Mus musculus: one gene and its partners. The protein of the gene in region 7 purifies or fractionates together with the protein of the main gene of each other region. This does not show direct contact. Links are inferred from orthologs where the notes say so. Each region holds a gene or a part of one and is shown on either strand. Other genes may lie near its edges. The genes, in order: Recql4, Hic1, Jun, Zeb1, Brinp1, Ect2 and Sirt1.

What was found.
Region 1: the proteins of Sirt1 (region 7) and Recql4 purify together in Homo sapiens (affinity purification with mass spectrometry; 3 studies listed by BioGRID). This does not show direct contact. The link is inferred for Mus musculus from reciprocal best matches to the Homo sapiens genes SIRT1 and RECQL4.
Region 2: the proteins of Sirt1 (region 7) and Hic1 purify together in Homo sapiens (affinity purification with western blotting; 4 studies listed by BioGRID and IntAct, with this or other methods). This does not show direct contact. The link is inferred for Mus musculus from reciprocal best matches to the Homo sapiens genes SIRT1 and HIC1.
Region 3: the proteins of Sirt1 (region 7) and Jun purify together in Homo sapiens (affinity purification with mass spectrometry; 4 studies listed by BioGRID and IntAct, with this or other methods). This does not show direct contact. The link is inferred for Mus musculus from reciprocal best matches to the Homo sapiens genes SIRT1 and JUN.
Region 4: the proteins of Sirt1 (region 7) and Zeb1 purify together in Homo sapiens (affinity purification with western blotting; 4 studies listed by BioGRID, with this or other methods). This does not show direct contact. The link is inferred for Mus musculus from reciprocal best matches to the Homo sapiens genes SIRT1 and ZEB1.
Region 5: the proteins of Sirt1 (region 7) and Brinp1 purify together in Homo sapiens (affinity purification with western blotting; 6 studies listed by BioGRID and IntAct, with this or other methods). This does not show direct contact. The link is inferred for Mus musculus from reciprocal best matches to the Homo sapiens genes SIRT1 and BRINP1.
Region 6: the proteins of Sirt1 (region 7) and Ect2 purify together in Homo sapiens (affinity purification with mass spectrometry; 3 studies listed by BioGRID). This does not show direct contact. The link is inferred for Mus musculus from reciprocal best matches to the Homo sapiens genes SIRT1 and ECT2.

Annotation. Positions count from the first base shown.
Region 1 is NC_000081.6:76,707,760-76,711,954, reverse strand, and holds the start of Recql4 (ATP-dependent DNA helicase Q4), read left to right. Parts: upstream 1-1,395; 5' UTR 1,396-1,478; coding exon 1,479-1,562; intron 1,563-1,643; coding exon 1,644-1,677; intron 1,678-1,756; coding exon 1,757-1,854; intron 1,855-2,026; exon of another isoform or gene 2,027-2,046; coding exon 2,047-2,187; intron 2,188-2,403; coding exon 2,404-3,153; intron 3,154-3,293; coding exon 3,294-3,420; intron 3,421-3,520; coding exon 3,521-3,628; intron 3,629-3,728; coding exon of another isoform or gene 3,729-3,731; coding exon 3,732-3,830; intron 3,831-4,195. UniProt on the Homo sapiens protein: An ATP-dependent DNA helicase which unwinds dsDNA with a 3'-overhang in a 3'-5' direction. Does not unwind more than 18 bp of dsDNA. May modulate chromosome segregation. The N-terminal domain (residues 1-54) binds DNA Y-shaped DNA better than ss- or dsDNA.
Region 2 is NC_000077.6:75,167,456-75,171,575, reverse strand, and holds the start of Hic1 (hypermethylated in cancer 1 protein), read left to right. Parts: upstream 1-1,320; 5' UTR 1,321-2,056; coding exon 2,057-2,573; intron 2,574-2,929; exon of another isoform or gene 2,930-2,953; intron 2,954-3,423; exon of another isoform or gene 3,424-3,645; coding exon of another isoform or gene 3,646-3,682; intron 3,683-4,031; coding exon 4,032-4,120. UniProt on the Homo sapiens protein: Transcriptional repressor. Recognizes and binds to the consensus sequence '5-[CG]NG[CG]GGGCA[CA]CC-3'. May act as a tumor suppressor. Involved in development of head, face, limbs and ventral body wall.
Region 3 is NC_000070.6:95,049,423-95,053,442, reverse strand, and holds the start of Jun (transcription factor AP-1), read left to right. Parts: upstream 1-1,220; 5' UTR 1,221-2,171; coding exon 2,172-3,176; 3' UTR 3,177-4,020. UniProt on the Homo sapiens protein: Transcription factor that recognizes and binds to the AP-1 consensus motif 5'-TGA[GC]TCA-3'.
Region 4 is NC_000084.6:5,766,360-5,769,859, reverse strand, and holds part of Zeb1 (zinc finger E-box-binding homeobox 1), read right to left. Parts: coding exon 1,835-3,500; intron 1-1,834. UniProt on the Homo sapiens protein: Acts as a transcriptional repressor. Inhibits interleukin-2 (IL-2) gene expression. Enhances or represses the promoter activity of the ATP1A1 gene depending on the quantity of cDNA and on the cell type.
Region 5 is NC_000070.6:68,828,898-68,832,397, forward strand, and holds part of Brinp1 (BMP/retinoic acid-inducible neural-specific protein 1 precursor), read right to left. Parts: intron 559-3,500; coding exon 389-558; intron 1-388. UniProt on the Homo sapiens protein: Plays a role in neurogenesis and brain development. May suppress cell cycle progression in postmitotic neurons by inhibiting G1/S transition.
Region 6 is NC_000069.6:27,115,879-27,119,378, reverse strand, and holds part of Ect2 (protein ECT2), read left to right. Parts: intron 1-1,462; coding exon 1,463-1,601; intron 1,602-3,500. UniProt on the Homo sapiens protein: Guanine nucleotide exchange factor (GEF) that catalyzes the exchange of GDP for GTP. Promotes guanine nucleotide exchange on the Rho family members of small GTPases, like RHOA, RHOC, RAC1 and CDC42.
Region 7 is NC_000076.6:63,336,236-63,340,366, forward strand, and holds the start of Sirt1 (NAD-dependent protein deacetylase sirtuin-1), read right to left. Parts: upstream 2,801-4,131; 5' UTR 2,736-2,800; coding exon 2,330-2,735; intron 862-2,329; coding exon 745-861; intron 1-744. UniProt on the Homo sapiens protein: NAD-dependent protein deacetylase that links transcriptional regulation directly to intracellular energetics and participates in the coordination of several separated cellular functions such as cell cycle, response to DNA damage, metabolism, apoptosis and autophagy.

The DNA of each region.
Region 1 (4,195 bases), on a different chromosome or scaffold from region 7:
CTGGTTTCCAGAACCAACATGGTATGTCACAGCCACATGGAACTGATGCAGGTGCCCCCTTTTGACCTGAAGCTTTCACATGCACATGGTGTATTTTCCTACGACTAGGGAAAGTAAATATTTTCTAAAGTGAAGTAAATCCCAGACCTCTCTTCCCACCAGACTGACAACAGAGGATTCCTCCAGAGCCAGTAGCCTAACATCCTGACCCTCCACGTAGATGTGCCTTTGGAGTTAAAGAAGTCTAACACAGCTTAGTGAGTGCCAGGCTCTGGGGTTTTTTTTTTGTTTTTGTTTTTTAAAGGATCCTGTGAACAGATGGTGTGCAGCATCTGAGACCAAGGCCCTGAGTTTGAACTCCAGAGATAGCGGATTTCTAGGGTATAACTAGGCAGAGAAATCCCTGAGGAAGAGCAACTCTCACCCTCTGTGGTCCTTGTCTCCTATTCGGGTACCTCCTCTTCACTGAGAAACCATGTCTTAAATTCACGAGATTCATAACGATCCAAGCCAAAACTGCTAAAGCGTTCCAGCTGAGAAGCCACATACAAAAGATCCTGAGCCTGAATGATTCTTGCTATCCTGGGTCAGTAGACTTCCTGTGGGCAAAACACCTTACCCTCAGAACTATGCTACAGTCCTCAGCCCACAACAGAATGGAAAACCAGGGCCTAGGCCTTACGCAAAGCCGCAGCAAGGGACAAGACTGGGGACCAGAAAGACTGATGAAGCCCAGGGTTTGCTTGCTTCTAACATCTCCTACGAGTCCTTAAGGCACGCGTCCCTGGGGAACCCCGCGTGACTGTCCTTGATCTGGCTCTAGCTTAAGATAATAGGACTGCCTAACTGACAGGACAAGCCAACCAAACACCTGTCATAAGAGGAACCGGTGGCAGCCCGCCTGGCCTCCAAGCAAGGATTGCTTCTGGGTGATGCTACTGCACACAGGACACAGCGGTCTCTGCGGCATACAGACGCGCACGCTCGGATCCTTGGAGAAAACAAAAAGCCCGGAACATCAACTGACCCGGGCGAGCCTGGAGCCACAGGCCGAGACCGGCCTCGCCCGCCCCTAGGTCTCCCTTCGCTTGCGGCCCATCCCCGCGCGCCGGCGGCACCTCCCGAGAATCCGCCTCAGCCGTGGTCTTCAAGCGCCAGTCCCCGTCGAACCTGCCGTCCAAGTGCCCTGACCACTAACGGCTGCTTGACTCTCAGCTCGACTCGAATCCCAGCCCCGCGGCCCCCGCTCATCCGCCTCCCCGACTACCAAGGCCTGCAACCCTTCCTCGCCCAGCAAGCCTCGCCCAGCTCCGCGCAGCGCCGGGGCGCGCTGTGATGACGCAACAACTCATAGGCCCGCCCCCTCCCCGGGGGGCTCAGAGCATCTGCAGCACCGCCCGGCGGCCGCTCTCATTGGCTAAGGACAGGACTTTACGGTGGCGGCGGGAGATTTCCCCTAAACTCACGTTCGGGCTGCCATGGAGCGGCTCGCGACCGTTCGCGCGCGGCTACAGGAGTGGGAACGCGCTTTTGCACGGCTGCACGGGCGACGGCCAGCGAAGGTGAGGTGGAGTTAGGGTCCGGACAGGGGCGGCAAGTGGGGGATCCTGGCGCAGCCTGTTGCTGACAAGCTTCTCTCCTAGGGGGATGTGGAGGCGGCACCTGAAGAGACCCGCGGTGAGCACTGGGCTGGTGGACCAGGGACAGGGCGAATGTTAGTGGGTATGCCCCTGACCGCCGACTTCTGCCTTCCCAGCGCTCTACCGTGAGTACCGTAACCTAAAGCAGGCGGTGCGTCAGGCTGACGACAGACATCGTGTCCTAGAGCAATCACTTGCCGAGGCAGCTGAGGAGGTATCAGTGAATCCCACTCTCAGCGGTCTGTGGTCCAAATGGCAGGAACCGAGAGCATTTTGCAGCCGTGCCTCCATGGAGCACAGAAGTTGGGTGGCCAGGTCCTCCCATGGGGGTTAGGGGAAGCTTTAGAGGCACTTCTGTGCCCATGCCATCTTTTAAACTGGTCTAGGTTGCTACTATCTACTGCAGGCACAGGAGCCAAGCTGCTGGGGTCCCCACCTGAGTCGAGCTGCAACGCAGAATACGCAGTCTATGCCAAAACAGAGCCTACTGAGTTCTGTACAAGACTATGGGAAGAGGCTCAAAGCCAATCTGAAAAACACAACACAGGTAAGACGTGGAGGTGAACCCAGAACTGCCTTTGGCCCTTGGGTGGTTTGCCAGGGTCCTTCTATGTCCACCCTTCCTTATAGCACGCACGTACGCTCCTGTAATAACTGGGACTAGGTTCCTAACGGTGCTCAGGCATCTCCACTCTTATTGTCTGTCCCAAACTTCTGCAGTAACCCAGGTCCTGAATTCCGATTTGCTGTTCTGTCTTTCTAGACTGGACCAACCCAGAGCAGAAAACTCCAGCTTCAGAAGAGATCCTTGTCCACAGTTCCTGCCCCAAGGCCACCAGGCTCAAAGACTGAATCCCCCTGTCCAGACGAAGCTGACGATGCACTTCCTCGGGTTCCTGAGCCCCGGCCGAGGCTGGGCCAGCTCCAGCAGCTCCGATCATCCCTCAGCCGGAGGTTGACTTCCCTAGACCCTGGTTGGTTAGAGAGGTGTCACAACAGAGTTTCAGATCTTCTAGAGGTTCCGGGTGCTTGTGGGCTTGACCTGAGTGCAGAGGAGTCACAGCCTCAGATGTCAGGCAAGGTGAACATCGCTGATCCTGACATCCAGTCAGAAGTATCTGTACAGAGCCCAGAGGCCATAGCCCAACAGCCAGCCCAGGTTTTGTCACAGAGCCCCAAATCCATCAACAGTAAAGGCAGGAAGCGGAAGTGGAATGAGAAGGGGGAGGACTTTGCACAAGACCAGCCCAGCAGCGGAGCAGGACCCCTGTCTGAGGGAGCCAGGGCTACAGTACATGGGCAAGACCCTCCAGGAGAACCCACACAAGTGAATGTCCCTCAGCCATGCAATTCCTCAAACCAGGCCAGGACAGAGAAGGCTAAGGGCACAACCCACCTCCATGCCTCTCCTCGACCAGCTTCCCTAGACAGAGGGAACTATATTCGACTCAACATGAAAAACAAACGCTTTGTACGAGTTGGGGCCAATCGGGGCAGGCTTCTCCGTAAGCAGGTGAGATGTGCTGAATGGAACAGGCCAGCCTCCTCTCCTCTCCTCTCCTCTCCTCCTCCCTCCCCCTCCCCTCCCCTCCCCTCCTCCTGTCTCTTCCCGTCTACTCCTGAATGGTTCTTCCATGTGTGGCCCTTCCCCAGGTATGGAAGCAAAAGTGGAAGAAGAAACAAGCTGCGTTTGGGGGAAGTGGACCCAGGGCCACAGACAAGGACACTTGTTTCCGGTGTGGGCAGTTTGGTCACTGGGCATCCCAGTGTTCCCAACCAGGTAAGCCTCTCCCTTAAGTATTGGGTCATTTGCCCACCGTGGGTGCTAGGGAATCACTTACACAAATGAAAGGCTCCAGCAGCCCTTGACCCTGGTCCAGGCCCCACCCTGACCGTCCAAGAGGAAGGTGACAGGGATGACAAACAGCCCATTTCCACCTTGGAAGAAGTAGCACAGAGGACAGGCACTGCTTCCTGTCACCACTCTGGTGAGTGAGGGGGAATGGGTGATGTGACTGCAGGCCATCATGCCAGGATGGTCACTGTCTCTGCTGGTGCTTCCACATCACCCTCTCTTGCCTATCTAAGCAGGTGAGGAAACACAGCCTGCTGCGCCAGAGCTACAGGTGCCTCATTGCCCCACCCCAATGTCACCCCTCTACCCACCGGGACCTTTGGGACAAGTAGCAGGTGAGTGAAACTTAATGGTCCAGACTCTTTTTTTTTTTTTTTTTTTTTTTTTTTTTTTTTAAAGATTTATTTATTTATTTATTTATTTATTTATTTATTATATGTAAGTACACTGTAGCTGTCTTCAGACACTCTAGAAGAGGGAGTCAGATGGTTGTGAGCCACCATGTGGTTGCTGGGATTTGAACTCCGGACCTTTGGAAGAGCAGTCGGGTGCTTTTACCCACTGAGCCATCTCACCAGCCCTGGTCCAGACTCTTTATCAACACATCGTAGTTGCTGTTCTGTTGCTGTGAAGAGACACCATGACCAAGGCAACTCTTTTTGATTGTTGGGTTTTTGAGACAGGGTTTCTCTGTGTAGCC
Region 2 (4,120 bases), on a different chromosome or scaffold from region 7:
TGGGACTCCTTTCTAAAGGAGTCAGAATAGACTAAAGGCAAATACGATATGGAACAGGTCCTCCAAAACAGCCCGATTCTGTCTCCGGGCTCTAAATGGGGTCGTCATGCGTTCACGGAGAGGAGGAAGCTGCACCAGGATGACCAGAGGAGCTCAGGAAGAAGGGGAAAGCAAAGTTAAGAGGAGGGGCATGGTGGTGCGCATCCTTGTACGTGGGAAGTAGACGCCTTTGTGAGTTCGAGGCTAGCCGTAGACTTGAAACTGTGGTGGTGGTGGTGGTGGGGCGTGGAGGAGAGGAGAGGAGAGAAGGGGAGGGGAGGGGAGGGGAGTACACAGTGAAACTTGGGCAAGGTTTATGTGGTTGGCCCCATAGCGATACAACAAGGGCTTGAGTCGGTGGAGAGGGATAGAACAAGAAGGAACTGAAGACCCAGCCGACCTCCTTATGGGTCAACCAGCGGATAAACTCCATTGTGTAAAACACATACAGAGCTTTCTCTCCAGACTCGCACGATCTAACCCCATTAAAAGGAGAAAACATTTAAAACAGAGACATCAGAGACACCCTTGCTTGTGGGAGAACTCAGAGTTGTCAAAACTCATCCCTAAGAGCACTTCTGGGGAGCCTTCTTATCCTCAAACGCTCCGTTACACTTCCGCTTCAGCCCCAAGGCGTATCCCTCGACAGAGATACCAAGGTACCTCTTCACTTCTCCTAGAGCTCAGAAATTGTGGAGTCCACCGTGGGACTGCAGTGTTTGTCTTGTATGGACACTGTACGGAGATACGAAGTAGTAAGTGGATTAGATGGAGGCGGAGCACACTGTCGCGGAAACCTGGTGAGCCTTGAAGACTCTTTGGACCAGAAGCCTAGGCCAGGCATAGAAGTCTCCTGCCAAAGAAACGCAGCCTCTAGGAGGCGCCCAAGACCTTGGTGTCTCACTGGTACAGCTAGAGGCCCGGCCGGCTGCCCCGGGCGAGTGACTCAGCCACTACCTCAAGCGGGGGAGTGGGGGCTCGAAGACAGCGTGGGGTGCGGCGAGCGTAGCCCCCACCCGCCCTGCGCCCCGCGCGGTTGCTAAGCTCTCCAAGGCCTCTGAGAGATGAGATCCCGGGAACCTCATTGGTTACCATAGTAACTCTGAGCCCCAGCCTCTCCGGCTTGGCCACGGAGGATGGCGCAGCCAATAAGAAGCTGTGGGCGGTTTGGGGGGACCCCCCCTATAGCGTGGGCGGGGGTCAGGAGGTGCGGGGAAGAGGCGGAGCGTGGGCCACGGAGGCGCGGTGCTTGCAACGGTGCTTATGCCTCCGCCCCGCTATGCAGGGACATTTCCGGTGAGCACCCAAGAGCTGGTGCACGCTCCCCTCCCTCCTAAAAGAGGAGTCACCAACATGAATGAGCTCTCCCTTGTGTGGCGTGTAGGATCTTTTTTTGAGGGGGTCTCAAGCCGCCCGTTCTCGTGATATCTCTCGAATGGTGTATTGGGGGGGGGCAAACTAAGATCCCTCAAAACTGCTTAGATGGGGGATTGGGGACTTGAGGGGCACGTCGCAAGGGGGCTCTGTCCAGCTATTTCCAATGGAGGGCTCTAGGGTCCTTCTGGAGACCCGCAAGTTCGGGGAGGGCTCTTTGGTAGGACCTCTACCCCGTTTCACGTAGTAGCCTCCGCAGTAGCCCAAGAAGTTGGGACTCCGGGAGGGGGTGGGCGGTCTGTGTAAACATGGCGCGCCCTTGTCACTGCTTGGACAGAGTTTGAGTGTGGACGGTTTATGATGTGCATACTGATAACATGTGTCTGAGGGAGAGTTGGAATGTGTCTCTCTCCACTGAGTCCAAGTGAATAATGGTGTTCAGAAATGTCTAATAAAAGCCGCCCCGCTCCTGCTCCGAACGTATGTACCTTCATCTCACTTAGGATTTCTAAGCTCGCCCTCTCACAGAATACTGTTCGTAGTGTTCCACCCCAACCCCTTTTCTAAGATAGGGTCTCAGGTAGTAGAGGCTGACCTTGAACTCCTGGTCCTCTTGCTTCCAACTCCTGGGTGCTATGCTAGGATGATTACAAGAATGCGCCACCATCCCTGGCTTAAGAGTTCCTCATTTGAAGACAGAACCTTCCCCTCCCCCCCCCCGAATTGGCGCGATATAACATATAAATATGTACTCGGGAGCACTCAGCACAAAACCCCCAGGTTTATGGGACTCCCAGGTCCGATATCTGAGTCTCCAGGTGGGCACATCTGGAAGCGCGCGAACCTGCAAGATCTGCTCAGCTCCGCATCTGCAAGCCTCTTGGCCCAGGTGTGCGCCAGAGGTCGCAGCCCAGCCGCACACAGTCCCCGCGTGGCCGCGAGGTGGCGCCATGGCCGCGGCAGCGTCTGCCGGTTCGGGCCGCTCCAGATAAGAGTGTGCGGAAAGCGCGGAGGGGCTGAGACGCGACCAGGACGCGGGGAGGACGGACCGGCAAGACAGACCGACCGGGGGCCCGGCGGGCGGAGGGCAGCGCACTGCAGCCACGTCCCCCCCTGGATCCGCCGGCAGCCGGGCCCGGGGCTTCCGACATGCCCCCCAGGTGGGTCCTCGAGTTGGCGACAGGGAAGGGCAAGGGACCCGGGACAATCTGGTCCTCGTGCGCCGGCTACCTCGGGAGCATCCTCAGGCGTGGGCGCCCGGGTCGCGGCTGGCGTTTGGGGCTCTAAGTGTCTTCCCTAGAGGACTCGGGACGGCTGGGCCGCTGCTCGGCGCCGGGTTCACGGCGGGGTCAGCGGCCCGGGGCCGGCTCTGCCCGCACATGGGCTGGGGAGGAGAGGGGAAGGCAAGGGGAGCCGGCGGGCGGGGCTGGCAGGGGCGCTGCCCTGGCACAGCTCGGCGCCTGGCAGCGGGGCGGGTGGGGCGCAGGCTAGGAGCTGCCACCGCCTCAGGGAGGGAAGCCGGGCTGGGCGGCCGCCGCAGGTAACGGGCCGGCGAGGCCCTGCGGGCCAGGCGGGGAACAGGGGCGGGCGTGCTCGCCGGAGGGCAGGGCGGCTTTAGATTTGGTGTGGGTCCCCACTGCCACCAGGCTGCTGAAATTGGGGGCCCAGAGGAGGAACTGGGGGCCAGGGAGGGGGGCTGGGGCCGGCGCGCTCCTCCCGCCCTGTCTGAAGTTGGGAAAGTTTTCCCCGAAGTTTGAGGCGGCAGAGTTTCGGGGGAGACGGGGCGGAGGGGAGCTGGGGAAGAGATGTGGAGCCGAGGCCCCGGCTGGGTCCAGAACGCGGGTGGGGCGCAGGCCAGGGTCAGGGCCGCAGCCGGCTGTGCGCCGTGCCCGCCCGGGGCGCTGCCCCCTCCCTCCCCTGGGAGCTGCGTGGCTCCCCCCTCCCCCCCACCTGCTTCCTGCCTCAGCCTCCTGCCCCGATATAACGCCCTCCCCGCGCCGGGGCCCGGCCTTCGCGCTCTGCCCGCCACCGCAGCCACTGTCTCCGCTCCCCGGGCCGGGCCGGCCGGCCCTAACGAAGGCCTGACAGCCCCGGGCCAGGGCGGTGCCTCGATGGGCATCTTGCTCCCGTCTTCCTTATCACTTCCCCTAACCGGGGCAACTTCTTTCGAGGCGGGAGGCGCTTCTAACTCGGCTCCTTGTCTCCCCACTTGGGCAAACTTCTCGGCCCTGAATGACTTTTCCTGAAGCGGACATTTTACTTAAATCGGGTAATTGTCTCCGAAAGGGTCATTTCGCCCTAAACAGATTTCTCCCTGGAAGTTCCCAGGACCCAGCCTGAGTGCCCAGGAGCATCTGGGGCTGGAACAGATAGGCTAACCTGGCCTACTCTCCATCCACAGCCTTTCTCCTCCTGCACCTTCTGTCTGGGGCCGGCGGGCCTAGGCTTCCACTCCCGGAGGCCGCTGATCCTCCTCGGCTACTGTTCAGGCCGTGGTGCTCCATGCCCCTGATCAGCTGAGGGGAAGGGGAAGCGGAGGGGAACCGACTGGGTTGGGTACAAGAGGCCAGGGCACCGCACTGCGTAGCTCTTACCCAGCTGGTGTGTGTCTCCCGCAGGAGAGTGTGCTGGGCAGACGATGCTGGACACGATGGAGGCGCCTGGCCATTCGAGGCAGCTACTGCTGCAGCTCAACAATCAGCGCACC
Region 3 (4,020 bases), on a different chromosome or scaffold from region 7:
GAGGGTGGAGGGCTGATAGCAGAACCTTAGAAAAGAAATAACTTACATGTGTCTAGCGCTTCCTAGAGGCCGCACAGGATATGACTCCACCAGTGAGCGGGGAGGGGAGTTTTCAGCCTGTTTCTACCAGGGACTCCTGCTTAAGCACCGTGACTTGGGGCGAGTCCGCAGCTCTCAAGGCTTGTTTTCCCAGAAGCAAATCAGGGAGGGAGGAAGGGCGGGCGCAGACTGAGTGTGCGCGGGACCGTGTGTATGTGCTAGCGCAGGCGATCGCCGAGGTTTCCTGAGTTTCGAACCTTTATATGTTGCTTTCGACACCCCATGGGCGCTGGGCTAGCATCTTTCACACCTAGAGGAGGGGTCCCTCGGAGGCAAAGCGAACACCCCTCCCCCGGCACGTCCAGAGAATAAAGTGTTGTGCCGGGGACCCTGATGAGTCGGTTCCGAACACCGCAAATCTCTGGTTTCCAGGTACAGCACACTGCGGCGCAGATCCTTCTCCGAAACTAAACTTCCAAGCATACTCATCTTGGAGGGCTACTCTCAAACCCGCTCAACTTCAACGCACTTACGTGCTCCCACACCCAGGGCGCACACAACCCTTTTAACCCGCATCGCTCTGTCCCCCGGAAGTGCGGGGGTGCGGAGCCAGCTTCAGTCACTCAGATCATTCAGCCCTTTCTCGGGCGTGCGTGCGTGTGTGTGTGTGTGTGTGTGCCCGCGCGCGGGCGCGCGCCTGTGTGCAACCTTCACTCCCACCCAAGCTCTCCGCCCCCGGCCACTAGCGCGCCTCCCCTGCTTTCTGGATCCCCGCGTCTCGGTCCCAGTCCCCAGCCCTGAACTTGAGCCCGCCTCCGACAGACTCCGCAAGGGTCCTGCCGACCGGCAGCCTCCGTCACTAGACAGCCAAACCAAGACGTCAGCCCACAATGCACCGGGCGGGCCGGGAAAGACGCGCCGGGGAGGGAACCCGGGAACACAAGCCGAAGCTGAGCGCGGGAGGGGGGGGGGGGAGGAGGAGAAAGAAGGGCCCAACTGTAGGAGCGCAGCGGAGCATTACCTCATCCCGTGAGCCTTCGCGGGCCCAGAGAAGAATCTTCTAGGGTGAGGTCTCCATGGCGACGGGTGGGCCCGCCCCCCTGAGAACGACGCAAGCCAATGGGAAAGCCTCGGGGTGACATCATGGGCTATTTTTAGGGATTGACTGGTAGCAGATAAGTGTTGAGCTCAGGCTGGATAAGGACTCAGAGTTGCACTGAGTGTGGCAGAGACAGCCTGGCAGGAGAGCGCTCAGGCAGACAGACAGACAGACGGACGGACTTGGCCAACCCGGTCGGCCGCGGACTCCGGACTGTTCATCCGTTTGTCTTCATTTTCTCACCAACTGCTTGGATCCAGCGCCCGCGGCTCCTGCACCGGTATTTTGGGGAGCATTTGGAGAGTCCCTTCTCCCGCCTTCCACGGAGAAGAAGCTCACAAGTCCGGGCGCTGCTGACAGCATCGAGAGCGGCTCCCGACCGCGCGAGGAAATAGGCGAGCGGCTACCGGCCAGCAACTTTCCTGACCCAGAGGACCGGTAACAAGTGGCCGGGAGCGAACTTTTGCAAATCTCTTCTGCGCCTTAAGGCTGCCACCGAGACTGTAAAGAAAAGGGAGAAGAGGAACCTATACTCATACCAGTTCGCACAGGCGGCTGAAGTTGGGCGAGCGCTAGCCGCGGCTGCCTAGCGTCCCCCTCCCCCTCACAGCGGAGGAGGGGACAGTTGTCGGAGGCCGGGCGGCAGAGCCCGATCGCGGGCTTCCACCGAGAATTCCGTGACGACTGGTCAGCACCGCCGGAGAGCCGCTGTTGCTGGGACTGGTCTGCGGGCTCCAAGGAACCGCTGCTCCCCGAGAGCGCTCCGTGAGTGACCGCGACTTTTCAAAGCTCGGCATCGCGCGGGAGCCTACCAACGTGAGTGCTAGCGGAGTCTTAACCCTGCGCTCCCTGGAGCGAACTGGGGAGGAGGGCTCAGGGGGAAGCACTGCCGTCTGGAGCGCACGCTCCTAAACAAACTTTGTTACAGAAGCGGGGACGCGCGGGTATCCCCCCGCTTCCCGGCGCGCTGTTGCGGCCCCGAAACTTCTGCGCACAGCCCAGGCTAACCCCGCGTGAAGTGACGGACCGTTCTATGACTGCAAAGATGGAAACGACCTTCTACGACGATGCCCTCAACGCCTCGTTCCTCCAGTCCGAGAGCGGTGCCTACGGCTACAGTAACCCTAAGATCCTAAAACAGAGCATGACCTTGAACCTGGCCGACCCGGTGGGCAGTCTGAAGCCGCACCTCCGCGCCAAGAACTCGGACCTTCTCACGTCGCCCGACGTCGGGCTGCTCAAGCTGGCGTCGCCGGAGCTGGAGCGCCTGATCATCCAGTCCAGCAATGGGCACATCACCACTACACCGACCCCCACCCAGTTCTTGTGCCCCAAGAACGTGACCGACGAGCAGGAGGGCTTCGCCGAGGGCTTCGTGCGCGCCCTGGCTGAACTGCATAGCCAGAACACGCTTCCCAGTGTCACCTCCGCGGCACAGCCGGTCAGCGGGGCGGGCATGGTGGCTCCCGCGGTGGCCTCAGTAGCAGGCGCTGGCGGCGGTGGTGGCTACAGCGCCAGCCTGCACAGTGAGCCTCCGGTCTACGCCAACCTCAGCAACTTCAACCCGGGTGCGCTGAGCAGCGGCGGTGGGGCGCCCTCCTATGGCGCGGCCGGGCTGGCCTTTCCCTCGCAGCCGCAGCAGCAGCAGCAGCCGCCTCAGCCGCCGCACCACTTGCCCCAACAGATCCCGGTGCAGCACCCGCGGCTGCAAGCCCTGAAGGAAGAGCCGCAGACCGTGCCGGAGATGCCGGGAGAGACGCCGCCCCTGTCCCCTATCGACATGGAGTCTCAGGAGCGGATCAAGGCAGAGAGGAAGCGCATGAGGAACCGCATTGCCGCCTCCAAGTGCCGGAAAAGGAAGCTGGAGCGGATCGCTCGGCTAGAGGAAAAAGTGAAAACCTTGAAAGCGCAAAACTCCGAGCTGGCATCCACGGCCAACATGCTCAGGGAACAGGTGGCACAGCTTAAGCAGAAAGTCATGAACCACGTTAACAGTGGGTGCCAACTCATGCTAACGCAGCAGTTGCAAACGTTTTGAGAACAGACTGTCAGGGCTGAGGGGCAATGGAAGAAAAAAAATAACAGAGACAAACTTGAGAACTTGACTGGTTGCGACAGAGAAAAAAAAAGTGTCCGAGTACTGAAGCCAAGGGTACACAAGATGGACTGGGTTGCGACCTGACGGCGCCCCCAGTGTGCTGGAGTGGGAAGGACGTGGCGCGCCTGGCTTTGGCGTGGAGCCAGAGAGCAGCGGCCTATTGGCCGGCAGACTTTGCGGACGGGCTGTGCCCGCGCGCGACCAGAACGATGGACTTTTCGTTAACATTGACCAAGAACTGCATGGACCTAACATTCGATCTCATTCAGTATTAAAGGGGGGTGGGAGGGGTTACAAACTGCAATAGAGACTGTAGATTGCTTCTGTAGTGCTCCTTAACACAAAGCAGGGAGGGCTGGGAAGGGGGGGGAGGCTTGTAAGTGCCAGGCTAGACTGCAGATGAACTCCCCTGGCCTGCCTCTCTCAACTGTGTATGTACATATATATTTTTTTTTAATTTGATGAAAGCTGATTACTGTCAATAAACAGCTTCCTGCCTTTGTAAGTTATTCCATGTTTGTTTGTTTGGGTGTCCTGCCCAGTGTTTGTAAATAAGAGATTTGAAGCATTCTGAGTTTACCATTTGTAATAAAGTATATAATTTTTTTATGTTTTGTTTCTGAAAATTTCCAGAAAGGATATTTAAGAAAATACAATAAACTATTGAAAAGTAGCCCCCAACCTCTTTGCTGCATTATCCATAGATAATGATAGCTAGATGAAGTGACAGCTGAGTGCCCAATATACTAGGGTGAAAGCTGTGTCCCCTGTCTGATTGTAGGAA
Region 4 (3,500 bases), on a different chromosome or scaffold from region 7:
TAATCAATGAGCTTGATAATTCACCACTCATTTCCAATTCATCATTTACTATGCTTTTCTTTTTTTCTTTTTTTTTTAAGATTTATTTATTTATTATATGTAAGTACACTGTAGCTGTCTTCAGACACTCCAGAAAAGGGAGTCAGATCTCGTTATGGATGGTTGTGAGTCACCATGTGGTTGCTGGGATTTGAACTCCGGACCTTCGGAAGAGCAGTTGGGTGCTCTTACCCACTGAGCCATCTCACCAGCCCTTACTGTGCTTTTCATAAAAATTCTGCGTTTCACTAAGAATTGAGACATAGTTTAGACAATGTCTTTAAAGTGTGTCCTTCATCCTGGAGGCCTTTGTACCAGCTCCCTTGGTCTGGCGAAGAGGGATTTGCTTTGGTCCATACTTTCCCTGGAATGAGGAGGAAAAGTGTGAGAGGGGCTGAGATTTTTAAATAGGAGTAGCTGTCTGTAAAAGAGAACCCTTACAATTTTCATAAAATACACAAGACATGACATAGAACCTCAAGATGGTCTCAGAGAAGTCACTTTCAGAAAAGGCGCTTTTCTCAATGGAATAGTCCTGCAGAGAGCCTCTTGAAGACTTAGGTCACCTATGACCTTTGGGTCTTTCCTAGAGTCTCATAGACTCTGTTCTTTTGAAAGCTCGATATGACAAGCAAAGCCAGTCATTTATCACTAGCTGCCAGTGTAGAAGTGACTCTACTTTATAGCTCTTGATATAGTCCAAGTCACTTGAAATGGTAAAAGCTCTGTTTTCTTTAAATTCAAAGGTATCAAGAAGGGCTGGGAAGATGGCAGATAGTGGGGCCAGCCAGTCTAGACAAAATGGTAGGCTCCAGGTTCAGGGAGAGACCCTGTCCCCAAAATATTAGAGTGATTAGGAAGACAGTCACTGTCAATCTCTGGCCTCTACATGCACACTCATGGGTGAACACACCTGTCCATACACAAGTATACATCACACACACACACACACACACACACACACACACACACACACACACCCCAGAAATCTAGTGCCATTAGTCATGGGCATGGTTTCTTTATGAGTTACTACAATTCTGGAGATGCCAATGAGTGAGTGGCAGTCACAGGAGGCCACAGGGCAAACCTGAGCAGGACACAGAGCAACTGTAGCTGTGCCTGCAGTAAGATCAAACAGCCATCTCTGGCATTTGATCCAATTAAAGGGACTGATGAAAAAGTGGCGATATCAAGCCTAGTGTCATGGGAAGATTCTGGATAGACAGTGAGAAACAAATAGCAATACAGCAGAGTTCTACCCAGAACCAAACAAAGCCAGGCCTCATGAGGTGTGGCACTCCTTGGCCACAGGCACACCTCATGAGTACCTACAACCAAACACTGTATCTGAGTTCCAGAATACTCTGTTTAACCAAAGGTTAACCTAACTCCTAACAAAGGAGTTGGCACACGAAGTACCAGCAAACCCTTTCTTGGCTTTATGGTGAATGGGAACATGGTTGTTTAATAGTGATCATAAGCAAAGAAGAAACTCACCAATCTGAAAATTTAACTAGAAAACCACCACTCTAACTAATGAGTAACACATTTTGTCTTATGCTTCTAAGCTCAGTCAGGTCTCCAGCTGAGTTCATGCACTGGTTTTCAGAGAATACACTCTCAACTGTGGTTGATGCCCTAAGGCAGCTGAGTAGCAAGGGAAGGAAGGTATCCTGCCATGCAAGGAAAGCAAACCCATAAGTTCCATTTAAACATGGCAGCTGTAACAATCTGGTTGATTCTACAGAGACAGAGATTTCTTCACTAAAAAAACTTAGGTTAATGCTTTACTAACCTGGTTTCCGTTTGGCTGGATCACCTTCACTGGCGGCTCCTGCACGGCAGGGCTCACAGTAGCTGAATATGTATATGCCACTTGGGGAATCAGAATAGTCTGCTTGTTGGCGGCCAGTGCTCTTAAACATGGAACACTGTTCTGGTCAGCAATGGCCACGATTGTGGGTAACTGGGCAGTGACTGTAGGAATAGCAATGTTTATGGGGTTGGCACTTGGTGGGACTACATTTACAACTGGTTCTGAGTCTGTAACACAGCTGTCCTTTTGTGGTTCCTTTTTTGCACAAGACAAGTTCAAGGGTTCTTCCTGGACAGAATAAACACTGTTCTGGTAAACGCTACTGACTGTCGACCTTTCCAGTAACTCTCCCTGTTGCTTTGGTAGTGAGAGATCAAGAGGTTCTACTTGGGGCTCCTCCTGGGCACCCTCTGCCACACAAGAGTAACCCTGCGGGTTCCTGGCTGAGCAAAGGTTTAGAGGGGATGGGGATGATGTGCAGCTTCTGGAACCGTTCATGGCTGATCCTACAGGTAAAACCGGAGAGCTCCTTATCTTGACAGGACTCTGTCCGCGTGTGCTGTCTTCCTGGGGCTCATTTCCATCCGCAGGTTGAGGCTGCTCATCGGTTTTTGTAGGTATGTTTACTGACCCGGTTCCAGGAGAAGGGGGGTCAGGAGACTGTCCTGGAATCTGTCCAGCTTGCATCTTTTCAAACCACTTTTTAACTCCATCCAGCGGTAGGTTCACAGAATCGGCGATCTTTGAGAGCTCTTCTGTGCTTGGCTGCGCGTTCAGAGCATAGTAGGCTTTCAAGAGTGACAGAAGGTTCTTTAAAGGTGGCTGACTGGGAGACAAATCTCCGTTTCCAGCTGATGAAGCAGAGGACTCTGGCTTCTCGGTGGCTGGGGCAGGGGGTGGAGGCTGAGCAGGGCACTCTGGGTCATAGTGCTTTAGTTCTGGAAGTGCATTGAGGTCCCCTGGGCAGTCCTCACACAGAAGGCAAGTGCTATCATCCCTGGCCCCCTCAAAGCTTTTGTCCGTTTCTGATTTGACAGTAAGGTCTTCTGGTAACTTCTCACTTTTGCAGCTGTTTGTAGGGGCTGGGATTTCTTTCTTTAAATTCTGGGGAACAACCTGAAGTTGACTGGGCTGCTCAAGACTGTAGTTGATGATGATTTTGGTTGTTCCATCCTGATCAACTAAAGGAAGACTGATGGCAGAAATGACAGAATGGCCACCCTGCTGGATGGGCGAAGCACTCACTGCTTCTTGCTCTTTGGATGCAAGACTGGCTTGATTAGTCTCCAAGACTTGTCGTATTACGTTACCATCTACAGCCACTTTAAGTACATTCTGAATGTCACTTAAGTTGATACTTATGGGAGATACCAAACCAACTGTTGGCAGAACAACGGCTTGCACCACACCCTGAGGAGAACTGGTTGCCTGCAATTGGCCACCACTGCTAAAAACCCCATTTTGTAAAGGGGTTGAACAGTTGATTCCTGAAGCAACCACTATGGGTTTGAACTCATAATCCACAGGTTCAGTTTTGATTTGGTTTACAGAAAGCGGTTCTTGAAGGGGTTTATTCTCTATCTTCTGTCGTATCTGTGGGCGTGTGGGACTGCCTGGTGATGTCGAAAGAGATGGCGAGGAACAC
Region 5 (3,500 bases), on a different chromosome or scaffold from region 7:
GCCAGTAAAGATAGAGATATTTCCAGCATCTCTGATGTTTCTGTGAGCAATGTTGGTGCACATGAGCATGGCTTAGTGAGCAGCATGCCTGAGTGTTCATTTGTAAGCACATAGTTGTCCATAAAAGCATCTATTTAACATAGATTGATAGCATTGTAGTTAATTCAGCAATTAACATAGGATAATATATAAATAACTCAGTCGGTAAGGCCACTCTAATGAAGAGACTCATTTTGTAAGAGATTATTTGGTGATATCGATCTGAGTGCTGGGTAGTGGGAAAATGGCATACACCGGTATGAAGCTAAGTATGTTGGTTATCTGCGTTCAGATGGTCTCTATCATGGTTCTGCTGACTTGAAAATCTAAGTGCACCCTCACGCTGTACCTTGATTGCTCCAGTTGAAATCTGGATCTCATGGAGCCTTCTCATGGTGCCATCACGGTCGACAAAGTAGGATGATGCAAGCTGGTGCAAAGCTTCAACACTTTGGGTAGCATTCCCTGACTTCCGGTCCAGGCGACTTTTGTCCATGTACATGGTCAAAGCCTCCTCTCCTGCATGGGAAAGCACAGATGAGAAAAGTTGCTCCCATTTCAGTGTGGGGGGAGGGGTTCCAGATCTGGGACGCTGAAAACAGACTTATGCTCCAACCAACTGGTCCGAATATCCCTGTACCTATAAAATCAAGGGCACAGTGGAGAAAATTGAATCCAGAAGTTGTTATAGATCCCATTAAAGCAATCGCCATAAATAATGCTCAGCAATCAAAGGCCATTTCCAAATAAACCGTACATATATATCAAGGGCATCGTCTTACCTAATGAAGTCATCTACTTCTAAGAAGTTTATAAGGGATTTGGCATAGATATTTTTTCCTTGCTCTTCTTATGTTTCCTCAACACAATTTAATTCTTCCTTTTCCCTTTCTCTACTGTTTTCCGGTCACTTCTTCACATCCTCCCTTCTCTTCTCACAGTACTCATTTTTAGACAGATAAATGACAGGTGATCGATATATAGATTAATGATAGGCAGATATAGGAAAGGGGGTGAGTACACAACTAAATACTTAGGTGGATTATGGAGAGAGAGAGAGAGGGAGAGAGAGAGAGAGAGAGAGAGAGAGAGAGAGAGAGAGAGAGAGAGAGAGAGAGAGAGAGAGAGAGAATGTTTTAGGTGATTGATGGACTGATGAATGGGCAGTAGGATTAAGATATGGTACAGCTGGGCCCTCAGGTAGTACTATGTCTAATTTTCTGAGGAACCGCCAAACTGCTCCACCATGTAACAAGGACACATGCTCCACTATGTTCATAGAAGCCTTTGGGTCCCCAGGAGCCCAAGTCTTGAGAATGAGACCCTGAGAAACACAGCTTGACTACAAATCACTGCAATGACAAAAAGTTTTTATTCCAACACGCATAGGGTTGTTCAGCCTTGCAGGGAGAGTCAACCCCGATTGTCAAAAGTACAGCTTCTTTATACTCTTTTGAAAAGGGGGGGTTCACAGTGATATCATTATTGGCTAGCAAAGCAATAGTATATGTCTAATTTTAGTGATCAGTTGTTGATGTACCAGAAAACGTTGTCTGCAAAGTTAGGGCAGTATGCGGTTTATCTTGGAATTCAAAGTGAGGCATGGATTCAAAGGACTATTATCTGTGTTATAGCTAATTTTTGAGAACTGCTAAGCTTGCTCCAGCAGTTGTGGTCATCATGACCTCTTAGTCAGTCCTCTCAGATGGGGAAGGGGCCAGGTGGTATTGAACTATTGAACTTGCTTATATTGGCAGGGAAAGGAAATATTTCTCAAGCCACAGGGGGAAGGGAAAAGCTTTTGTAAACAGCTTTGGTACACATTAGCCAAGCTAAAAAAATATATTTCTTCACCTTATTTTATAATAGCCAGAAGCTGGAGAGAACCCAGATGTCCATCAACAGAGGAATGAATACAGAAAATATGGTACATTTACAAAATGGAGTACTAATCAGCTATTAAAAGCGATGAATTCATGAGGTTCTTAGATAAATAGATGGAACTAGAAAATATCATCTTGAGTGCGTTAACTCAATCACAAAAGAACACACATGGTATGCACTCGCTGTTAAGTAGCTATTAGCCCAGAAGTTCAGAATACCCAAGATACAATTCACAGACCACATGAAGCTTGAGAAGAAGGAAGGTCAAAGTGTGGATACTTCAGTCCTTCTTAGAAGGGGGATGAAAATTCCCATGGGAAGAGATACCGAGACAAAGTTTGGAGCAGAAACTGGAGAAGAAGGAAAGGCTATCCAGTGACTGTCCCACCTGGGGATCCATCTCATATACAGTTACCAAACCCAGACACTATTGTGGATGCCAACAAGTGTTTGCTGACAGGAGCCTGATATAACTGTCTCCTGAGAGGCTCTGCCAGTGCCTGAGAAATACAGAGGTGGGTGTTCATAGTCATCCATTGGAAAGAGCACAGGGTCCCCAATGGAGGAGCTAGAGAAAGGACCCATGGAGCTAAAGGGGTTTGCAGCCCCATAGGATGAACAATAATCTGAACCAACCAGTATACCCATAGCTCCCAGGGACTAAACCACCAACCAAAGAGTACACATGGAGGTACTCAAGGCTTTGGCCACATTTGTAGCAGAGGATGGCCTTGTGGGACATCAATGAGAGGAGAGGCTTTGTGGTTTTGTGAAGGCTTGATGACCCAGTGTAGGGGAATGCCAGGACAAGGAAGCAGGAGTGGTTGGTTTAGTGAACAGGGGGAGGGGGAATGAGATAGGGGGGTTTTCGGAGGGGAAATGAGGAAAGGGGATAAAATTTGAAATGTGAATAAAGAAAATATCTAATAAAAATAAAAAATATTACCTTTCAAAAAAGATATGGATGAATTATATCTTACAGATATAAATACAATTATATGAATTTATATACTTTCTTCCATGAATTTTCCTAGAAATCCATATGTAGATTCCTAATACTACTCCTATGACTACTGAGCTATGATGATATTGGATGTACATAATAATCTAGTTCAATGTCAGATTGTGAAAAATTCTAGATAAGGTCAGCATGTAGACATGGCTACCACATTCCTGCCTCCATTTTTTTTGCTGACGCAACATGACCACATTTCTTAATTGTCCATCTTAAATATGTCACCCACTTTAATCATTAGTAATGTGGGAAAAATAAAAAAGAACAACAAACCCAGCAACAAAACTACAATTAAAATTCCCGTTGGGATTATGAGAAAGAATGGAGTAGTTAGGATACAACAACTCTCTTTATTTCAATTTAACACTCAAAAATCAATTAGCATTTGACTCTGCCTTCAGCTCAATGCTAGAACATGTTCTAAGAATGCACAAAGCAAGCCCCAAATTCAACCCCAGCCACCACAAGGGAAAGCTGGAAGATGAGAGAAGTAAGATGAGAGATGTGGTGGGTGAGAAGTCAGAAGACAAAATAACAAACCAAAGAGACAAAACAACCAGTC
Region 6 (3,500 bases), on a different chromosome or scaffold from region 7:
TTCACTCACTTAAGAAAAATAAAATTCAGTAAAATTGAAATTAAAAAGTTACTTTTAATACTTCTATATAATATAAAACCAAGAGCAATCACTATACCTGTACATTAAGAACAGTTGAATATTAGTACATCTGTATTTTCTTAAATATGACAGATGACTTTGAGGAATTTATTTTCCATTTGAATATTTTATCTGTGCTTTGGGTTTTTATTTTTATCCTTGGTTTATTAGTACTTGTACTATCAATTTTAATACTCTTCTTTCCTTTTTAAAAATTAATCTTAAAATAATATATTTCATTTAGCCAAACAAAAAGAAAGCATATCTGTTCATTGCACAGGAATCAGTATCCGCTGCTTACTTTTCACGATATGTGTGTGAGCCTTTGTATTTGTTTTATACACAAATGCATATATAATTTATATATAAGATATGTATATAATTTATTATAATATATGTGTGACATGTGGAATAGACACATCTGTGTCTGCTTTAGTGTAGTTGTAGTATACTGACTACCTTATCTTATTCATTAGCTCAATACCAGGTAATACATTTTTAACTGTGTCTCTCATATTCATGATGACCGATCTCAATTCAAGTACATATTTATGTTCATTTAGTGTTAATAATGCCTTTCAGTAAAATCTGAATTACTGCAAAGGAGATTTCTTCTTTCTTTCCTTTTTCTTTCCTTTTGGCAAAATCTCACTATATCACGAATCACAAGCTCTTTCTGATTTCGCTCTTCTCCAGTTCCCTATTTCTTCCTTTTGCATGGGTATCCAGTTAAGGTAAAGTTATAGCCTAATACAGCACTGTGGATTTATAATTCCTATTGCTTCTGTGTGTGTTGTTGTTGTTGCTGTTGTTGATCTGTTGAGACAGCCTCACTGTGTAGCTCGAGGTGGCCTGGAACTGAAAGTCCCGCTCTCCTGCAGTGCCCCCTAGAGCTGGGGTTTCGGGTGGATGCTTATCTTTCTGCAGCTTCCCTTTGGCAGGCTTCTGTAAGCAAGCCTGAGGACAGGACCGATCTCACACTTCTTGTGTGTTCTGTTACTAGGAGAGATTTCAAATTTTTTAACTTAAACTAAAATTAACACCATTTTGAGCCCTAGACTCCTGCCCCAGAACAACTGTTCCCCTGTGGGGCTGGGACTGTTATTCTAGACCTCTGTTGCTGTCCCTCGTGGTCTTGTCCTTTCATGCTCTGGAGTCTCTCTGCGCTCTCTATCCCTAGGCCTGCTTTTCTGATTGTGAACTTTCCTAATATGGACATGAGCATCTGGCTACATAATTACATGTGTGCTTTTTCGTCAGTCTCTTGCTTTTATTGCATAGTAACTGGCATGGCTAATCTTCAGATTAGTTGCCTATACATTTATGTGATTGACGCTGTTATTTTTAAATGTTTGAAATTTGGCTTTATTACAATAATGATTGACTTTCCCCCTACAATCAGATAGCAAGAAAGCGGCACAAGGTTATTGGCACTTTTAGAAGTCCTCACGACCGCACCCGGCCCCCCGCTTCTCTGAAGCACATTCATCTCATGCCTCTTTCTCAGATTAAGAAGGTGCTGGACATCCGAGAGACAGAAGGTAAGCTCATGGAGGAAGCGTTCCTTAACTTAACTCGCTTGTCCTCGTTGAGCCTTAGCTTTATTACTGTAATTTCTCTATGTATACATTAATGTATCCATTTTCTTCACACGTGGCTCCCCATCAGCTCCTTCCCTAGGTGCAGACTGATGTCTTCATGGTTTCTAATGAAAGTGTTACACCATCTTGAGGAATATCCTCTCTTAAAAGTCAAACAACTTTTACATGGCTATGCTTTAAAATAGCACCTTAGCTTGTCTTATTCCCACATCAAAACTTACTAATAATTCTTCAAAATCCAACATAAACGACCAGTTTTATTCAGGACCATATATTTTAATACTTTTTTTTCACCAATGGTGCATTTTGGGTTCTTTCTTTTTCCCATTATGTATGGATGTTTATTTAGTGTCCATGTCTGTGTGCCTCATCCATACAGTGCTCACGGAGGCCGACAGAGGACACACATCCCCGTGGGAGTGGAGTTAAGATGGCTGTGAGCCATGTGGATGCTGGGAATGAACCCAGGTTCTCTGGCAGAGCAGCCTATGAGGTCTTAACCACTGAGCCATTTCTCCTGCTCCAGGAATGTCTTTAAGATTTGGGAAGGGGGTTGTGGGAGTGATTACAAGACGGTCCAATGTGTAAAGGTGCCTGCTGCCAAGAGTGACCTGAGTTCAGTCTCTGTCACCCACATAGTGGAGGAAAAGAACTCATTCCCACAATTTGTTCACTAAAGTCCACATACTCTAGCATGAGAGTGTGCATAGGAATAGACAATCACACCATTTTTTTTTTAAAGAAAAGAGAGATTATTAGTAGATGTATATCAAATAAATAGCCCACAGTATCTGGTAACTTGGCATAGGATTAAGTACATACACATACATATGAAAAAGATGGGTGTCTTGGCTCACTCCGATCCTAGCATTTGGGAGGCAGAAGAAAGCAGATTTCTGAGTTTGAGTCCAGTTATAGGTACGTAATGAGTCACTCAAAAACAAATAATAAAATACAAGTAGGCATGTGTACATGTGTGCTAGTTTTCTCTTGCAACAAGAGTCCTGAGATAATGCATTTCTAAAGATACTTTGGCTGATGATTTTGGAGAGTTCAATCCATTCTTTGGTCTCACTGCTGTGAATGGTGGTGACATGGTTCATCATGTCTGAGAGCACATGATGGGGCCTCATGGCTGAGCTGTGAAATGGCATGTCCTTAGCCATCTAGAACCTCCCACTCTTGCCCAGCTGGAGACTGAGCCTGTAAACGCTTTTGGTGACATCCTGTCCCAAGGGAAAGTTTTCCTTTTTTAACTTGACTAGTATTTGATTTTTCTGTAGGTCTGAAAAGGCCCCACTACACATCTACCTTAAGTTGTGCTTTCTAGTTAAGCAGTACTAGTGTTGTGTGGTCATGGTCTTGGTTTAGGAAATCTTTTCTTTTTTCTTTAAATAAATGAAGTGCTTTAGGTGATCTGCTCCTGAGTTTGTAAGACATGAGCAGCTCCTCTTTCTCCTGTGTGTTGCTACTAATCAGACCCAGGGCTTTGCACCTACTTGTCAATTCCCCTATCCCTGAGCCACTTCTCCAGTGCACAGTAACTTACAAAACTGGTTTTCACCTGTTCAATTCTGTTTTGTAGAGCCTATGATGAGGCATTTACTTAAATTTGGTGGAGTTGTGGTTGTGAAAGTGTTCAAAACACACGAGTGAGTATCTGTAAGATGCAGATCAGGGAGATAGAGAGCACTTGATTATCTGAGTTCAGTCCCAGGGACCCTGTGCTGGAGAGAGCAGTCCTCCCACAGCTGCCCTGGCCTCCACATGGTCATTCATTGTAATTTTAAAATGTTATTTTAGCATCTCAATTACAAAGCAATTATGTTTTGATATTTG
Region 7 (4,131 bases):
AGATGGGAGGACGTGGTGAGCGACTCAAGGATTACCATGCAGGAGGCCAAGAAAAAAAAAATCTTACCAATACCTGAGCAACTAAATCTAAATGGTAAAGGTGACAGAGAATTTAAAGTTGGTACAAAAGCAGCTGTTGGGGTGGTACCAAATAACTATAATCCCCAGCATTTAGACACAAGATCAGAAATTCAAGGCTAATATGTGCTGGCTGGCTACCCAGCCAATGAGTTCAAGCCAGTCTAGGCTATACGTGTTCCTGTCTCAACAAGCAAGCAGACGAACGACAACAACCACAACAAAACAAGCAAGCAAAACCCCCAAAGGCTGTACACAGAAAGCAAAAACAATGTACAGAAGAAAAGAGGTGAGGACCTAACCTCAGGCACTGACAAACGGACATGGTACATACAGCACACCTATAATCCCAGCACTCTGGACTGCTGGTAAAGTCAGGATATCAATGTCATCCTTACATCCTAGACTCCACAAGTTTAAAGCCATCATAGGATAGATGAAAATGTCAAAAAAAAAAAAAAAAAAAATCAAGAAAAGAGAGAAGGAAGAGTAAGTCAAAAAGAGCTTTGGTTGTGATGTACTCCAGAGGCTGGGCAGAGACTGCAGAGTAGCTTAACTAGCTTGGGCTATAAAATATCTTGTCTCAAAAAGGAAGGACGGACAGAAGGACGGAAGGAATGAAGGAAGTTTGCAATTGTTTCAAAGATGCACATGCCTGAAGCATACCTATCCGCGGCCGCGGAGTCCAGTCACTAGAGCTGGCGTGTGACGTTCTGTCATCGTCATCACTTTCACAGGAATGAAAGCCATTAGTGAGGAGTCCATCGGTCAACAGGAGGTTGTCTGTCAAAGAGATCAAAAGGCTGCGGCTCAGACAATCCCCAGCTGGGCCCTGCGGTCCACACCTGCAATCCCAGGTACTTTGAGGCCCGTTTGGCCTGTATGGTGAGACACACACAGGTTCTTGAGACAAAAACAAAAAACCAGAAAGGCACAGAAGCACACACATCTGTAACTCCAGCACCTGGAAGGCACAGACATTGGAAACCAGCCTGACATATATAAAATAGTGAGTTCCGGACCAGCCTGGGCTAAACAGGGACCCTACCTCAAAAAATCCAAAATGAAGACACACACACACACACACAAATAAAATCTGTGTAGCCCTACAAAAGCAGCTCAGGGTTCCATGCCCAGGACAAAGAAATACAACTTCATGAAATGCATCAAATAGAAATTACTTCTAAATATCACTGAGATAAAAATCAATCCCTGGCTGTGTTCTCACTGCCCCAACCAGAGAAAGTCTCTTTCCGTAGCCCTTTCAAGTAGCAATCTACCTGCTTCAGCCACTGGGTGTTAGTAAATGTATGATTTAAAGAACACGAAGCATACTTTATGCGACTTGTTTCCCCTTTAATACCTGACATCAAGGGTCATTTCCTATTTCAGTCCCTAACACGTTTTGTTGTTTTTTAATTCATGGCACCATTATACGAGCCACAAACATCTACAAGGGCACTGACAGACTCTGATAAATTCTGTACAAAGCTTTTCAGGAAGACGATAAGTGGCATTATTACAAAAACAAAACAAAAAAGTAACCCAAACGTTTGGCGTCAATAGGGCAAAACCAAGCAGGTTTGTTTCAGGTTTGTTAATCTAAAAATGTTGCGAGCATGATTTTGAAAGGAAAAGAAAACTTACGAAAGTACAGTACAACTATAACTCCTCTATATCGAAGTGATAAATGCAATCGCAGAAAAGCAACATTTTTAGGAATAGCCATTTCCTTACATTTTTTAGACTGTGTCTCAAGAAATAGCTTTGGTGTATTAAAATTTCTAACTTCAAAAAAAGACATAGGTCTATCCAAAAAAGAAAAAAAAAAAAAAAAGCAACACAGGTGTCAGTTTGCAAAACGAAATCGCATGTCGATCCACGGGACAGCCCCAAAGTCGCAAAGCAAAGTGTGCAGTGAGGAAAACTATAACTTCACTAAAGGCGCATCGGGAGGGAAACCAAACCGAGGGAGGGAAAACTTCACTCTAACGCCAAACTGCGAGAACCGCGGTCCCGGCGACTGCGCGCAGCAGCGCAAGGCGGCCCAGGCGAGCGGCGAGTCCGCGCGCGGCTCCGCAGCAGGGCCGGCGAGCTCGGCGGCGCGCGGCCGAGCCAGGGCCGAGCTGCGCCGCTGCCGCCGCCGCCGCCGCGGAGCCCGCGGAGCTCTCGGGGCCCTGGGCAACCTGGGACCGGGTCACAGGCGGGGACGCGGAGGGACGCGGCTGCGCGGCAGCGCGCGCGGACTCACCTCGGTAGCCGATCGCTGCCGCCGCCGCTGCCGCCGCCGCCTCGTCCTCCTCCTCGCCCTCGTCGTCGTCGAAGTCGTCAGCCGCCCTCGGCTCCCGCCGCAGGCCGGACCCATTGTCTCCGTCCCCGGCCACGGCCGTCGCCGGGGCCTCCCGCTCCGCGCTCGCCGCCGCCCCTGCCGCCTCCCGCCACAGCGCCGCCGGGGCCGCGGCGCTCGCCGCCTCACACCCCGCGGCCGCCGGCGCCACTGCTGCGCTCGGCTCGCCCGGGCTGCGCCCGAGGCCAGGCCCGTCTCGGCGGGGCCTCTTGCGGAGCGGCTCGTCCGCCGGCTGCGACGCGGCCTCCATGGCGGCCGCCGCGGAAGGGGAGCCGGCGGCCTGAAGGGCGAGCGCCACCTCGTCCGCCATCTTCCAACTGCCTCTCTGGCCCTCCGCCCTCGCCTCCTCTGCTCCGCTCGACGCGCGGCACTGGCGCCCCCGCGGCTCGGCTGCGGGAGATTTAAACCCCGTCACGTGACCCGCCCCTCCCCGCCCCCGCGCCTCTCCCGCCACCCACGCGGGCCGGACCACAACACGCCGGGTCACGTGGCCGGGCGCCGCCCGCGGCCTGGGCCCTTCCCGGCCCCACCCAGGGCGGCTCGGCTCCCCTCAGCGGCCTCTGGCGCCTCCCGCCCGCCCGACCCGTTCGCTCGCTCGCTCGCTCGCTCGCTTGCTCGTCCGGGATCGCCGCGGTGGTTCAAGTTTGCGATGGCGCCGCCACTTCCCACCTGGGCCTCACGCGTGCACCTTGCCTGCCTGCGCCTCTTCGCCTCAAGTCGGCTTTTACCTCAGGGGCTCTGGAGAGCCCAACCTGGCCGACGCCGGCCTTCCTGAGGAGAACTCCTCCACCTGCCTTGCCCTTGCTCTGTGACAGCTCTTCCTCAGGTTACCCCTGTGGTCTCTCCTCAGGAAGTTTGCGCTCTCTCCCAATCTCCCTTCTCAAGTGCAATGGAATGCCCAAGCCAGCCCTCGGGGCCTGTTGCCCTCCTGGAAAGATCTGGCGATTGAGGACCCGCCCTATCTGCTCTCTGGACCCACCAGGTCCTCTGTACCTCGCTTTAGTCTTTGGTAAAATTCATCTCTTGGGGCAGCAAGAGAGAGGACAGAAGGGAGAGTGGTTGGTTCTCCACAAACTTCTGTGTTAAGAGTCAGATTGGGCCTGGGCTCTTGTGACTTGGGCGATTGACTGAACCTTTTCTAAGCCCAGTTTTTAATCATCTCTAAAATGACAGGGCCAGGACCGAAAGAGACTGTAGCTCAGTTGTAAAGTCACGCTTGCCAGACAACCCCGAAGCCCTAGAGAGAGGGAGGAAGGAGGGTAAGTTGAAGGTAATCTCCAACTACTTAGGAAGTTCAAAAAAGGCCTGGAATACATAAGACCTCGTCTCAAAAACGAAATTTAAAACGATAGACCATGAGAAATCAGCTAGTCAGGTTTAAAGTAAATGACATTAGTTTTAAAATCCTAGGCAGTTGATGGTGGCACAGGCCTTTAATCCCAGCAAGCTGGAGGAGACAGGAGGAGGTTCACTAGGACAGCCAAGGCTACACAAAGAAACCCTGTCTCGAAAAAATAATCTTACTTCTAGAATTGTAGAAATGGCTCTGTAGTTAACAGCACTTGTTGCTCCTGCAGAGGCCCTAGGTTTGACTCCCATCATCCACATGACAGCTCATACCTTCAGATCTGACACCTGCTTTTGGTAAACACAGACATGTATGGAGCCAAAAGACCCAAACACATAAAAATCCTCTTTGTTGTTGT